Linked DNA regions of Drosophila melanogaster. The protein of the gene in region 1 purifies or fractionates together with the protein of each later gene. This does not show direct contact. Each region holds a gene or a part of one and is shown on either strand. Other genes may lie near its edges.

Evidence for each region. The genes of interacting proteins can lie anywhere in the genome.
Region 2: the proteins of Cdk9 (region 1) and Rchy1 purify together in Drosophila melanogaster (affinity purification with western blotting; one study listed by BioGRID). This does not show direct contact.

What each region holds. Positions count from the first base shown.
Region 1 is NT_033778.4:22,634,799-22,640,777, reverse strand, and holds Cdk9 (Cyclin-dependent kinase 9), read left to right. Parts: upstream 1-3,050; 5' UTR 3,051-3,187; coding exon 3,188-3,372; intron 3,373-3,434; coding exon 3,435-3,519; intron 3,520-3,578; coding exon 3,579-3,836; intron 3,837-3,904; coding exon 3,905-4,591; 3' UTR 4,592-4,715; downstream 4,716-5,979. Other genes in the region: RpS24 (ribosomal protein S24), read left to right, coding at 1-78; CG3732 (uncharacterized protein), read left to right, coding at 759-847, 925-1,241, 1,298-1,740; bonsai, read right to left, coding at 1,965-2,467, 2,527-2,660, 2,720-2,925; CG17807 (uncharacterized protein), read left to right, coding at 4,854-5,979.
Region 2 is NT_033779.5:6,459,042-6,468,640, reverse strand, and holds the start of Rchy1 (ring finger and CHY zinc finger domain containing 1), read left to right. Parts: upstream 1-2,971; 5' UTR 2,972-3,112; intron 3,113-4,501; 5' UTR 4,502-4,797; coding exon 4,798-5,379; intron 5,380-7,924; coding exon 7,925-8,086; intron 8,087-8,159; coding exon 8,160-8,318; intron 8,319-8,646; coding exon 8,647-8,925; intron 8,926-8,993; coding exon 8,994-9,113; 3' UTR 9,114-9,599. Other genes in the region: HemK1 (HemK methyltransferase 1), read left to right, coding at 1,033-1,242, 1,302-1,822, 1,877-2,117.

The sequences.
Region 1 (5,979 bases):
CAGCGCAAGGAGCGTCGCAACAGGATGAAGAAGGTGCGCGGTACTGCCAAGGCCAAGATCGGCACTGGCAAGAAGTAAGCCTGATGGAGGAAAGCTCGTCTGCGGGCATCGCCTGCTATTCCCAAAAGCTGCTGGTTATGCGTTAGTCAAACTTCTTTACCAACCAATCAACAACCGACAAAACAAAATCAGTGTTTACTTTTGGAGCGGCTTTTGTTTGTAAACTAAGGAAATAAAACTCTAAAAGTATACAAGTTCTTGTGGTTCATTGTCTGGGAAAGGCGCGAGTGCAATAGTTGTTTAATTGAAGTGTTTCTGGACCAATTTTATATGCAAAACTATTTGAAGAGTGGCGATAATCACAGATTGTTGTCAATAACTTTTGTTGATCTCTTGTACTCCTTTGGTGGCCTATTTTTACAAGGAAAATGTTTACAGCTTAGAAACCTGCGATTTATCGCAAATAAGTTGAAAGCTGGAAATCCTACCTACCCAAATATTTTCAATTGAATTGCAATTAAATTCCAAAATAAGTTTTGGAGTACCCCAAATACAATTTGAATGACCTATCGATTGTTGCATCGGAAGCCAGACTATCGATAACGGTATCGATGTTTTGACCACTTTATTTCGTACCGTATACAGAATATAATATTGGTAAAAAAAATCTGTTAAATGCTGCTCCTGAGGCCTAAGGAGGATCACTTGGACGCCCGTTAGCATTATCCTTTGGCAGAGGACGCAGCCAAGGCACAGACATGTCCAGTTCAAATGGAGGCGTGGCATCAGGGGCCGCGGGAAGCAGCGGCGTCGCTTCGCCTGGCGATTGGATTTGCCCAGATTACGAGTGAGTGCCCGTAAAGATGCAGTGATAGCGGCCAAGTGAGAAGTCCTGCGAGTCTCACACTTCCCTCGATTTTGCAGCTGTCGCCATCTGAACTTCGCCCGCCGTTTGCAGTGCAACAAATGCGACCGGGACCGCGATGGCAGTGATAAGCCGGAGCGCGACAGGGATCGAGACCGGGAGCGGGAACGCGGCAACGGGAGCAGCAGCAGTAGCAGCAGCTCAAGCAAGAAAAAGCTGGGCACCGAGATCGGCAAGGCGGCGGCCGACAAGTCGCGGGGCTTGTTCAGCGCCGAGGACTGGCAGTGCAGCAAATGCGCGAATGTGAACTGGGCCCGTCGCCAAACCTGCAATATGTGCAACGCTCCTAAGTTCTCGGATGTGGAGGAGCGGACTGGTGAGTCCGTAGAAGCCTGATCTGCTTCAAAACCCACTTAACCAGTTTCTTTAAAGGCTTTGGCGGTGGATACAATGATCGCGGCGTGGTAGAGTACAAGGATCGTCAGGATTCGGATAGCGAGTACGATGAGTTCGGTCGTCGCAAGAAGCGAAAGCACGGCGAGCATAGAGAGGACTCAAAGAGGCCCAGAAGGTCTAGCCGAGATGAGCAGCGGAATGATGAGGAAGAAGATGAGGACGACGACGAGGGAGACGACGAGGATCTATCAAAGTACGATCTCTGGGGCGACGAAGAAGTCACTTCCACGGATGTCAAGAGCAAAGAGGGCACTGGCAATGGCGACAAGGAGCGCAAGCGTACCTCACGCGACTCTACCTCTTCCGTGTCCTCCTCGTCGTCGTCCAGTTCGTCCAGCTCCAGCGACTCTTCGTCGAGCAGCTCGAGTAGCTCCAGCAGCGGCGGCAGGCGGAAAACCTCCTCGTCGGGCAGACGTTAGCTGCAACCGTACCCTTTAGGAACTTCTCTTTAATTGCGTCTGTTTTTACACATTTTTCTAAGGCAATCATGCTTGCCTTCTTATTTATTTGCCAGTATGCGCTCAGATGATCATGACATAGGGTACGATGTCCAGCCTAACTCTTAAAGTATAATAAAACATATAATTTAAGAAAACCAGCATTTACATTTATTGTAAGACACCGTAACATTAAAGAATCGGGCCTAATTGAAGCCATCCTCGTTTTGTTTCTTGCTGCTGGCGGCTGCCTCCGCCTGCTGCAGCTCCTTCAGCATTTCCAGCTGCCTTTTTGAGTCGGCGATCTTCTCTTCTGTCACGGTCACGGGGACATCGCAGGAAATCTGTTCCTGCCGCACGAACTGCATCTTCTTGATGGCCTCCTCAAGGAAGGGTATTTGCTGGGCCTGCAGCTGCTTATGGTAAGCCTCTAGCCGCTCTTCCTTTAGGTTTTCGCAGTATATGTCGGTCAACTTTTGGAGGGATTCCTTGCGGGTGATCCAGTGGAAATGTGTGGGCGGTGGCTTGTACACCAGGTCGAGTTTCTCGAGAATCCACTCGAAGCGGGGATAATCCCAACGTCTCAAGTACTTGAGGAACTTCTTGCGTTTGTCGATGAGCTCCTTGAGACGCACCTTGATCATCTTGTCGCGCGGATGCTTGTCCATGTGCTCCTGGTAGCGGCGGATAACTGCAGTCATTTTTGCCACTAAAAGAAGGGCAAATTTGGGGGGAACTGCTATATGTGCACTTTGCAAAGATACATACATTTGGCCTCCATTGAGCCGAAATCCTGGGCATGTCTTTGCACCTCCTTGACCATCTCATCGCGATAGAATTTTGTGGTCAGGTAACTAGCGTTGTTGCTCAGTTTGAACAAGGATTTAACTGACTCGTCGGCTCTACAAAATGGTGAGATGATGTAAATAAACTATTATATTGAGAGAATACTGCAACATACTTATCCAACTCCTTGCAGTCCCTGTATTCCGGCAGCAGTTCGTCGGCTTTCAGAGGAGGCAGCTTGGCTAAATCGCCGCTCTTTTCGGGCTTATAGCACGCGATCTTCTCGGGGCGCATCCATTTGATTTTCAGGTCCGACTTGAATGCATATTCCCGGACAAACTGCCGATGCCCTGCCTGGGCTATATTCAACAGTTTATTCATTAATTCGGCTTTTATTTGTTGGACAAATTTTGGCTAGGTTATATCACTTGGCCAGTGTATACCAACAATCGAAAAGTTATTACTACCCAGCTGTTTGACCCATCGATTTCTTATCGATAGGCCTTGACAGTGTGTGCACACCGGTATTTCTTTAGTCAACAGCTGTAGAAACACCAATTGTTGCCGATTTCTTTCTTTTCGACTGTCGGCTTCTCGCGAAACTGTGATTGTGAAAATTGTACAAATAGAGGCAAATTTAACCATGGCGCACATGTCCCACATGCTCCAGCAGCCTTCGGGGTCGACGCCCTCCAACGTGGGCTCCAGCTCATCGCGCACGATGTCCCTGATGGAGAAACAAAAGTACATCGAGGACTACGACTTTCCCTACTGCGACGAGAGCAACAAATACGAAAAGGTGGCGAAAATTGGCCAAGGCACCTTCGGGTAAGTCTCCAAATTGGTGAAAACTAACTTTAAACTAAAACATACGACCCCTTTGATTACAGAGAGGTTTTTAAGGCTCGCGAGAAAAAGGGCAACAAGAAGTTTGTGGCCATGAAGAAGGTGCTGATGGACAACGAAAAGGAGGGCGTGCGTGAAAAGCAACATCTTAAGAGACGAATTCCTTATTTATATATGTGCTCCCCTAGTTTCCCATCACGGCTCTGCGAGAGATCCGCATCCTGCAGCTGCTAAAGCACGAGAACGTGGTGAATCTGATCGAGATCTGCCGCACCAAGGCCACCGCCACGAATGGTTACAGATCCACCTTCTATTTGGTCTTTGATTTCTGCGAACACGATTTGGCAGGTCTTCTGTCCAACATGAACGTCAAGTTCAGTCTGGGCGAGATTAAGAAGGTTATGCAGCAGCTTTTAAACGGTTTGTATTACATCCACAGCAACAAGGTGAGTCATGTCATTAAGCAAAGTTTTGGTTTTACATTGTATGTATCTGTTTTCATTTGCATTACTAGATCCTGCACCGAGACATGAAAGCTGCCAACGTGCTGATTACCAAGCATGGCATCTTAAAGCTGGCTGACTTTGGCTTGGCCCGTGCTTTTAGCATTCCAAAGAACGAGAGTAAGAATCGCTATACCAATCGCGTAGTAACCTTGTGGTACCGGCCGCCTGAGCTGCTACTTGGTGACCGCAACTATGGTCCACCCGTGGACATGTGGGGAGCCGGCTGCATAATGGCCGAGATGTGGACACGCTCGCCCATCATGCAAGGCAATACGGAGCAGCAGCAGCTAACCTTTATCTCGCAGCTATGCGGCTCCTTTACGCCGGACGTGTGGCCGGGAGTGGAGGAGCTGGAGCTGTACAAATCCATCGAGCTGCCAAAGAACCAGAAGCGTCGAGTCAAGGAGCGCCTGCGTCCGTATGTCAAGGATCAAACCGGCTGTGATCTATTGGACAAATTGCTGACCCTTGATCCCAAGAAACGCATCGATGCGGACACAGCTCTGAATCACGACTTCTTCTGGACGGATCCCATGCCCAGCGACTTGAGCAAGATGCTGTCCCAGCACCTGCAGAGCATGTTCGAGTACCTGGCGCAGCCACGCCGCAGCAACCAGATGCGCAACTATCACCAGCAACTGACCACCATGAACCAGAAGCCCCAGGACAACAGTATGATTGACCGGGTTTGGTAGACTGCCAGAGGTGTACGCACCCGACTAATAGTTTCTCACCTTCAACTAGCGTTAGGTTATTAGGTTAGTGTACAATAAAAATATTGGCATTTGCATTAGCGCTTGCTCCAAATATACCTACATTATGTTTCTCTGCTTCTTATTATTCTTTATTCAAAGTTTCTACAATTACTTGAAGTTGCAAGAAAGGGTATTCACAATCGACTTAAGTATTAGAACAAAAAGAAAAACATTGAAAAGGGGTGTACACACTGGCCGCGAGATGCACGTTGAGGAAACACAGCAAAAGGTAAACAAGGCCAAAAAGGCGGATAAAAAGCAGCGAAGATGTCTGGCAATCATCAAAAGTGACTGCGAGGTGTCTCCAAGCGCTGAACCCACCCCTTACCTGGCGGTTCTCAACGTGGGACTCAGCAATGGACTCACGGAGGAGTGTTTGCTCACGGAGGCTGCCGCGACCGGTGGAAAAGTCATCCAAGTGGTCATGTTGCCGGGCAAATCGTACTGTTTTTTTATTTGTGCCAGCTTGGAAGACTCCCAGCTCATCTATGAGGGAATGCACAATATATCGACCATTGGACAACAGGGAGCTGTAGCCTACCTTAGCTATATAAGGCAACTACCGGCACTTGCGGGAAAAAGTGAGTGGAACAAGCCTCTTCCCAGAGGCCTTCACATAATTGCTGACTTTGTCACCGAAGAGGAGGAGTCAACGCTGTTGAGGGCCATTGGCGAGGATGGCAGAACCTCCGAAGTCACGGGATCTCTAAAGCATCGAAACGTCAAGCACTTCGGCTTTGAGTTTCTTTACGGCACCAATAATGTGGATCCCTCGAAGCCTCTGGAACAGTCGATACCATCAGCATGTGATATTCTATGGCCACGACTAAATAGCTTCGCTTCCACCTGGGACTGGAGTTCTCCTGACCAGCTGACAGTGAATGAATACGAACCCGGTCATGGAATTCCCCCGCATGTGGACACACATAGTGCTTTCTTGGATCCCATTCTTTCGCTGTCCCTGCAATCCGACGTGGTAATGGACTTCCGCCGAGGAGATGACCAGGTTCAAGTCAGACTTCCGCGCCGATCCTTGCTAATAATGTCGGGTGAAGCTCGATACGATTGGACGCATGGCATCAGACCGAAGCACATTGATGTGGTACCCAGTGCATCTGGCGGTTTGACCACTCAAGCCCGCGGCAAGAGAACTTCTTTGACTTTTCGACGCCTGCGAAAAGGTCCCTGCGACTGTTCATACCCCGCGCTTTGCGACACACAGCAAACCAAGGTACCACAGGAGTTGCACGCATCGCTAGCTGCTCAGGCCATCACTCTGGAGCAACAGAACGTCCACGAGGTGTACGATAAGATTGCGGATCACTTCA
Region 2 (9,599 bases), on another chromosome or scaffold:
GAAATAATTGTGCAATCGTAATGTGAATATATACAATATATAGAACATGTAATGATATGAATATTTTAATATGTTGTAAAATACAAAAATTATTAGTACGGCCAAGCGATTGAATTTTCACTTCTTGGTCAAGCAATGGATCTTTTGCAGAAATACTCTAGACCAATCCCATATTTGAACAAGCGCCATTCTCTATTTACAAGGTTGTTAAATAGATATCAGGGAAATGTCTTGTTGGATGGACTAATCATATAAAAGCAATTGCTGGGCAAACAAACCTCTTGTTTTCGTGCCAACTTGAGTTCTAAAGAAAAGAGTTACCTTAACTATGTAAACCCATTTAGTTGGAAGTTCTTTTGCTAAGAAGTCATTATTTTTGTATCCAGAATATCTCAGAATATATTAACTATCTATCTGATTATGTAATGCTCTTGGTTTCTTATAAAATTTACATATTATATAGACGTCAGAGCTCATATGCTTCAAACCAGTTCTAATTTGCATTGATTATTGATGGACCAGTAGTAGTTTAGCTATTTTCCTACGTTTCAGACTAGGGACTTACATTAAACTAGACCAAGCTAGTCAGGAATATTCTTAAAAAAAGTATTAAAAAGCTTAACGAGCTTTGCTACTTTCTCTTACAGTTATTTTATTCATGTACATACATACATATATTATTATAATTCACCATTATAACTCCCCCTTTTCATATTGTTATGCTTAATAGACCTATTTCCGCAACAATAAACAAAAAGGGCCGACTGCAATCAGTGCGTGAACACTTGATATTGCTTTTCCATTTAATTGGAACAACCTAATTATGTTGCATGTTTAAATTTTCCGCCAAGAACTCGAAAATTAAGTCACACTATTCCGCTCTACGGTAACACTTGAAGCGTGAACACTTTTCAAATATCGACCACTGGTTTATTGTAACGGTCGAGAAACGGTCACGCTGGAACGAACTGCAGGCAGTGGGTCGTCAAAATTTTGTTGTTAATCAATAGCAATTAGATAATAAGTGAAATAATGCTCAGACAACTGACACGGTCAATGGGCCCGACCTCGCGGCTGCTTAAGCAGGTCAACTATGGCACAAATGCCCCAGCTGGCACCCACATTCCCGTGACCAAGGCCCTGGAAATTGGACAGTGGGAGGAAAAGCTCAAGGCCGCCGGCGTCGAGGACAGGAAGTTCAACGTGAAATGCATCGTGTCGCATGTCCTGAAGCAGAAGTTTGTAAGTATCTGTGAGAAAAGCTGGCTATCAACATCACTAACCATGTTTACGTTCCGTAGAGTTCGGTTCCTGACTCATTTGACCAGCTGCAGCTAAATCCCGGCCAGCTGGCGGATTTCGAGCGCTTCCTGGAGGCCCGTTGTGCCCGCATGCCGTTGCAGCACATCATTGGCGAGTGGGACTTCATGGACATTACGCTGAAGACATCGCCGTCGGTCTTCATTCCACGCCCCGAAACGGAGGAGTTTATGCGCCTGGTGATCGATGATCACAAGAACGCAAAGCACGTCGATCTTTTGGAGGTGGGCTGCGGCTCGGGCGCCATGTCCTTGTCCATGCTACACAGTCTGCCGCAGGTGGTGGCCACTGCCATTGAGCGTAGCAAGGCGGCAACCGTTCTGGCTGCGGAGAATGCCAAAATGCTGGGGCTGCTGAATCGATTTGAGGTACACAACCACACCATGGAGGAGGACAAGTACCTGCCGGAGGCGCTGAAGGACAAGAAGTACGATTTGATCATCTCCAATCCTCCGTATGTGAAAACTGAGGAGTTTCAGTTTCTGCATCCCGAAGTCGTGGTGTAAGTGATGTTATACCAGATGGATGCAGTGCACTAACTATCTTATATCCCCAGGTATGAGAACCTTAATGCCCTGGACGGTGGGTCCGATGGATTGAGGGTGGCTCGACTGGTTTTCGACTTGGCTTGTCGGCACCTGCGTCCCGGTGGCAAGCTCTGGCTGGAACTGGGCAACGACCACCCGCCGATGGTGAAGACCATTATGAATCTGAAGTACGAGGGCCGGCTCAAGTTCATCGCCGGCTACAGTGACCAGTATCAGCGCGAGAGATTCGTTCAGATCGAGAAGGTCTAGGCGAGATTGCGCCATAGACAGGACGGAATGCTATGACTTTGACAATGCAATTAGCTATAACGTTGCCCATGCATTTAGCTGTGATTTGATTTAAGACCAGACATACCTGCACGCTGCCCAGAGACTCACACCTATATAAACAGAATATATAGCGCTATTAATCCTTAAGTTTCGTCTCTGAATCTTTTAGCAACAACCGCAGGCGGTATTACTTCACAAATATACCTGTATAAATTGCACAATGCAATTAGCTGTTTGATTTATGACCATATTATTATCAGTATACAAAAACCACAACGACTTTTACCTAAGGCTTTCTACTGCATTTTTGATCCTATAATAATGGATTAACATGATTTTAAAGATCAATAGGTTAAAAGTATAATGCACCTATAATAACTGGTCACTGATTTAAACTATGGCGATTATGATTTATAACCAGAGGCTTGCTGCCATAAATTGGAGGGTGTTAATGATCATCGCGGATCGAGTATAATGCTGTTTAATCAAACTGATGTATTCTATATCTGCGATAAGCAAAATGCTAACCATATTTTTGGCCTGAAAGATGTGTATCCTGTCAATATATAGAATCAGAATATTTCTATGCAAATTAGAAAGTTTTTGCTTAAAGTTACCACTTTAATGCTTATAGGTGTACTGATTATGAAAACAAGGACACATGTCCACAAGGATTACCATAATTATGAACCCGAGTGCATAAATCCCCCGACTTCGCATCTGAATCTTGTTGTAACCGCTCCGCTGGAGAGCTTTAAGCTCCGGAGCGGATAAAAGCTCCGACAGAGTGGCTCGGAGCAACAAGTGGCTAACTTCCGTTGCCAGTTGGAAGTCGAAACTCGCGCCGGACGAGTCTGCGGAATCCGGGTGCGCGAGTGGAACGCGGATTTAGATTGTCGTAGCTCTTTAATTCAATTGACGATTTCGAGCTGCGATCTCCTTCGTTCGGCTGGTGTGTGTTGTTTCACTTTCAAGTACGCATACATATGTGTAGTATAATTAACAAATGGCTAAATCATAATTAAAGTCGGAGTTTCAGTGGATATCACAATGAGCGCTTGATGAAAGTCAAGAAGAGGGAACTTAAAAAGCGCCGAAACAAAACAAAAACGAGAAACACGTTAAACGAGAAATTGATTTTAAAAATTCTACATAAATTTGACCATATAGATTTGGGTAAATGAATGAATGTGCATATATATGTACATGTATATATATATACATACGCCCAAACTGCGATTTGAAGGCGGTTTGAATGTGGATTGGAAACTTTTAGAAACCAATTAGCCAGATCGTGACATTACTTAATGCATTTATCCGCCCGATCGACGCGTGCAAGTGTGTGCCTGTGTGCGTGAGTGCGTGCGTGCGTAAACATGAATACCGAATTGAATCGAGTTCAAACTTGCGTTCTTTTCGCCGACTGGTTTTCCGGCGAGGCTGGCTTAATCGCCTTGCGTTTGTAATTTTAGCACACTTTCAATATTTATTGTCGGTCCCTGCTCCCCGGCGCAGAAAATGCGAATAACAATCTGAGCAAACAAGATTCGGCAACGAATTTGCAGCTTGCCGCGCTGTGCAAATAAAAGTATATATAAAAGTATGTACATATATACATTTATATATAGCTGGTAATGCCTCCTTTGGCAGCATCAATATGTGCACCTGCTACGTGCAACACCGACTTGCAGCAACAGCCAACCGATGAGCGAAAGTCGCACGCCGATTGTGTTAACAAGTGTGTGGCTGGCTGCTCCCTGCCCGCATTTTAATTCATCATCCGCACCGTGTGCCAAGGCACTGCGATTCCCAATCCGTGGAGCTGTGAACGTTTTTGGCGACCTGCAGGCTAAGCAAGCGATTTATATGCTGCCGCTCACATGGCACAAGGTCCCATCCAAAAACAGCAGCGGCCAAGATAGTAGTTCATATGCACATATTTGGGTTCTTAACAGGTTAATTGTCATTTTATAATGATATGGGTTTAATAGGTTTCCATATCTGATCCAAAACTATACAGAAATGGAAGAAAGTCATCATAGGTGATCTTTTATTTGATAATTTCTTACATAAAGTTACTACTTCTTGTTCCCCATTGTACGTTGTGTACAGTGCGCGACGGCTAAGAAAACGGAGTGAAAATCAAGATAGTCGTTATCTAGTTTAGATGGCCTTTCGCAGTCGGGGACTGGGAAACATTGAAATGCAAATACGCCGCCTCGGTAGTTTCATTTGTGTGTCAAAAATTGTGTGGGGGTGTGGGGGGTTAACCCGGCTTAGACTCTAATCTGATCGATCGGAGTGTGAGAAATGGCCTGCTAATGGAATACTTACCACTTTCCCACACTTTTCAATCGCTTCAGCCGAGTGTGTCACCTGTGCGAGCCCATTAATACCCAAGGATGAGCTGGACAAACGAAAGTTAGTTGCGATCGCGTGAAAAGGGAAACCGGACAGTCGGTTTTTTGAGTGCGGATACAAAGTCTACATGTGGCACAACGACAACAGCATCGGCCAGTAATTTAAATGCTTCGCGGCGGCAATTGAAAGGGCCAGCAATTAACCACGACTACTGCAGCTGCGAGGCATAGTGGAAAATCACTTTTATAGACGTACATACATAACTCTATATATACATAGAGTTAGCTCCTGCAGCAAAATGAAGAACCGCCAGCGAACGCGCCGAATATCGCTAAATGAAAACCACAACAGATACATGGGCAGCGGCGGCATCGATGTACAAATAGTTACCAATACAAAGGAGCCCAATCAAGTCAATTTAAATTCATCGTCAGCCACGACGACCTCAGCGGAGGCTGCTCTGCCCGCTTCGCTTCCACTTGCTCAGATAGCGCAGCAGCCACATACCCATCCCCATCCCCATCCCAATCCCCATCTCCACCAGCAACACCAGCTGATTGTGACGCCCACAACGATGACGGGCAAGTATCATCCAGCGCACGCCAAGCTGCGAAGATGCAAATCGACGCCGAGTCTCAATTGCGATGGCATGGCGGAGCCCATGGAGGAGGACCAGCTCCATCGCTTTGCAGCATGCTCACGTAACCCCGCCGCGGAGGCTCAGCAGCATGCACAGCCATCGTGCAACAGCAGCAGCAGCAGCAGCGACGGCAGCTGCAACAGCAACAAGTGCAGCAGCAACATCTGCGGTGCGCAGCCAACAACTCCGGAGTCATTGCGCTTCGGATGCGCTCACTACAAGCGGCGGGCCATGTTCGTGGTAAGTGCAACAGGCAGTCCAACTCCATTCATATTATCTATGGATGCTTTTCCAAGCATTACATAAAAGGAAAAGCCCCAGAAAAGTTATAAAAGTTATACACTTGAACTTCTTTGATATGTATATCAATACAAATTTTAATCCTTTTTTAGTGTATCGTAGTATCTATAACCATTCTTAAGATTAGTAGATAGATGTTCGTAGAAAGACTAGACGGATCCATGTATCTAGCAGTCTTACTTGTAGTGAGATTAGTTTATTCAAACCTCAAATGTGAAACCAGTCAACTTATGTGATATAAGAACAAACTTCAATTTTGAAAGTTCTTTTTTTATTTTATACGGGTATAGTTCAATTCCTGGGTCATCAGATAAAGAATTATGCAATTGGAACCCCTATGTCATGATTAGAAAGCGGATCAGTCATTTCACTTTTATAAAATGAATCCTAAAAATACATTGAAATAAATTCAAAGTGATAAAGCCATTAAACATTTCACCCATTTGGAAAATTTTCAAGAAGATTATGATGGCGCCTCTAAATGGCATTTGTATGCCTATTTATCCATCTATCTATCTATGTGTGTGTGTGTGTCTATCCAACACAGCTACCTTCCTGAAAATGGGCGCATTTAACCTTTATTTATTCGTTCCTAAACAAATAAAGTGGCTAAACTCTAAACAGACACCTTTGGCGAAGATTCTTTTGTGTCTGTCTGCTGACTAGATTTTGAATTCAATTGGAGGGCATCGCTATTTGCACGGCAAGTGTTTGGCTTGTGTGGACAGCTTGACGATGTCCGGCATCCAAAAAACTAACTGGTCAGCATGCTCCGCTGAGCAGGAACTGAGCAGGAGGCGAGTGGCCACTGGCCAGTTAACACCTCCATTCGCCATTCATCTGGGCAAACAATGCGTTTGTCTTGATCGCTCGCGTTTGGATAACAAATTATGGGGCATCTAAAAATGTTGTGTGTGCATATAAAGCAATCGTAGCACGGCTATATTCAGGTTCTTTACCTTAACAATTAGTAGAGCCAGCAGACATAATTATCGTAAGGTGATAAGTACAGAAGTTCGAAGGTGGGAAAAGTAACTCAGTGCTGGGGAAAGTGGTAACCATTTCATGTATAAAGTATCTCATGCAGAGAAGACTGCAGCTGCACTTGATTAGATAGATTTGTTTGTGAATGACCTGGATTATTAAATAAAGAAAAAGAAAGTTAAATGTAAATATTTAAATACTTATAATTCCAACAGTAGTGAGCGCTTATTTGTTGTTGAAAAGCAGCCAATTCGCGATATGAATTATTAATTCCCCAAAAATTCTGTATTATGCGCTATGGCCTTACAATACTTTCCAAAAAATGTCACGTAAATCCGTACACACGCTTCAATCTGTCCCACATTTTAATAAAATTCGAATGTAGAGGTTTTTGCTTTCGTCTGTGCACCGCGAGAAATTCGGATAAGCGAGGGTTTTGTGCACTAATGAGGTGCCCATTGAGTGTTGAATCAGCTGGGTTATTTTATAGTCAAATATTTATTTTCGCCCGACAGTGCGTGAAATAAATGTATACATGAATGTGGACATAAGCTGAGAGCAGTATGTGCAATCCCCCAAGTGGAGCAATGCCCCATGGATATCGCCTGTTCCCGCGAATCTTGTATCAATTTGTGTTAGAAGCTTTGTTTCGTCTTGGCTAAATAAATTTGAGATGTCTGGAGTTAGCCAATTGCAGATGCAAACGATCATTAAAATACGATCGTTAGTGAAGCACAGCAATGAAAGCCGGGGGGAATGACAAAGAAACCGGATTCGAAGACTCTTCTCCGGTTCGGTTCTGTACTTCGAGTGTTATCATCGCAGCAGCAGCAGAGTTGAAATAAATACTTGTATACGAAAAAACTGTTGTTAAGTTATAAATAATTCTCAAAGATAGTGGAGATAGATGTGTGCGCGAGGCTGGAGGCAGATACAAATGGCTGGGTGTTGGCTGTAACTAAGCCGAACTCGAGGATACACAAGATAATTAAGGGCATAAATTAACTTATTTTCAAACTTTATCCCCAAGACAAAACTGATAGAACTATATCATGTAGTTCGAGCTGTGCATCGACAGGTGAACTAATTAGCAGCCACCTAATTAAACGACACGAGTACCTTTGGCATCTTTACAATCGGATTGGGATTCACCCGCTGATTTGACTCGAAATTCGTACAAAATTCGATTCAGTTTCAAGTGCCTTGTTTATGATAATGCTAAGTTATTGCCTTTGGCATGTAGACGTCACTAGTAGATTTGTTTTTTAGTCGGTTTCCAGGCAGATTTCTTAAATTAGCAACTCCATTTGGGGAGTTAGGAGTCGTGCTAATTGCCGCTCGATAATAGGTTTTTCGTAGTCCTTGACTGAGGGGTGTAGTCCATCGGCAGGTGTGGCGGGGAGCAATCTCAGCTCCATTTAAAGTGGAATTTTTTCGAGCAGCGATTTCTTTTCAGCACTAATTTGATCTGATACTGATCACGCAACTATATCTTTCTCAGACCCCCTGCTGCAACAAGTTCTACAAGTGCCGATTTTGCCACGACGAGAACGAGACGCATCACTTCGATCGCAAAACGCTCACCGAACTAATATGCTCCGAGTGCAATACGCGGCAAACGGTGCGGGAGCAGTGCCTCAATTGCGGCGTGAGATTTGGTAAGGTAAGATATCCATCCAGGTGTCCAAAAATCACAGCAAAACCCTACTAGTAATATCATTTTGATGTACTTACAGTACACCTGCCTGATCTGCAACCTCTTCGATGATGCGGACAAGCAGCAGTACCATTGTCATGGATGTGGGATTTGTCGCATTGGCGGTGCGGAGAACTTCTTCCACTGCGAGGTGTGCAACATGTGCCTACCTATTCAGCTGAAGATCGATGGCCACCGGGTGAGTTGGTACTACATTTGGCACTTCATTGGGCTTGATTAAGATTTGGCCTGTAAGTGGGAATGCTGACCTCCGCGATTCGAAAGCAAATCAAAGAAACACATTAACTTTTTTTTTTTTTTGTCAATTCATTACCAAAACCGGTTGCCTAATTGCTATATGTAGCGATATATGATCTGCGATCTGCAATCTGGGATCCAGTTGAGTGGATATGAATGTCAAATGTGCTGAAGCAATGACTTCATTAATTGACAGCGAATTGGGCCAGAGACTGGCATGGCTGATTGCTAAATCCTTGCTAATTGACAACGTGTCTATTTTCCCGTAGTGCGTGGAGAACATCTCGCGATCGCACTGCCCCGTGTGCCTGGGCGACATCCACACTTCGCGCATACCCTGCCACATTCCCGACTGCGGACACCTGCTGCACAAGATGTGCTTCGACCAGCTGCTGGCCTCCGGCCACTACACCTGTCCCACCTGCCAGACCTCGCTGATCGATATGACGGCGCTGTGGGTATACTTGGACGACCAGGCGGAGCGCATGCCGGTGCCACTGAAGTACGAGAATCAGCGAGTGCACATATTCTGCAACGATTGTCACAAGGTACGACTAGATATACATAATACTAACATTCATGAAAAGCTCTTATAACCTTATCCAATTCATTACAGACTTCAAAAACCAAATTCCATTTCATCGGACTAAAGTGCGTCCATTGCGGCGCCTACAATACAACGCAGGATGTTAAACGCCGCCTGTCCCTGGTCACCGATGAACCATCCTCGGCGTGATATCCACCCGATTCAAACCACAGCATCAGCATCCGCATCTATATTCGCATCAGCAACAGGAAACCTCTTGCCATGCTACCCACACATCTGAGGACACTGATTTGTTAGCTCAAGACAACACAACTGAAATCGAAACGCATTGAATTTAGATCAAATTCGAGCTGGTATCGAATATTAACCATACAAACAAACATAAACAAAAGGCTCCCTAAATGATTTAAATATTGGTCTGGTCCCCTTAAGATTTAAAAATATCAATTAGTTTTTATGGAAATAGTTAGTTTCAATCGTAATAGGCATTTAAAAAACATTTTACCCTAATTGAGTTTTTAAATCTCCAGAGGATTTCAACGCACCAATATTTTGTACACAACACACATTGTTAAATTTAAATTTTCACTCGAATTTCAAGTATTCTATTTTGCAAAAATTATTTTGTGTAAATCTCGAATTTCTCTGTACACATTGCAAGCTCCGTTGCCACGA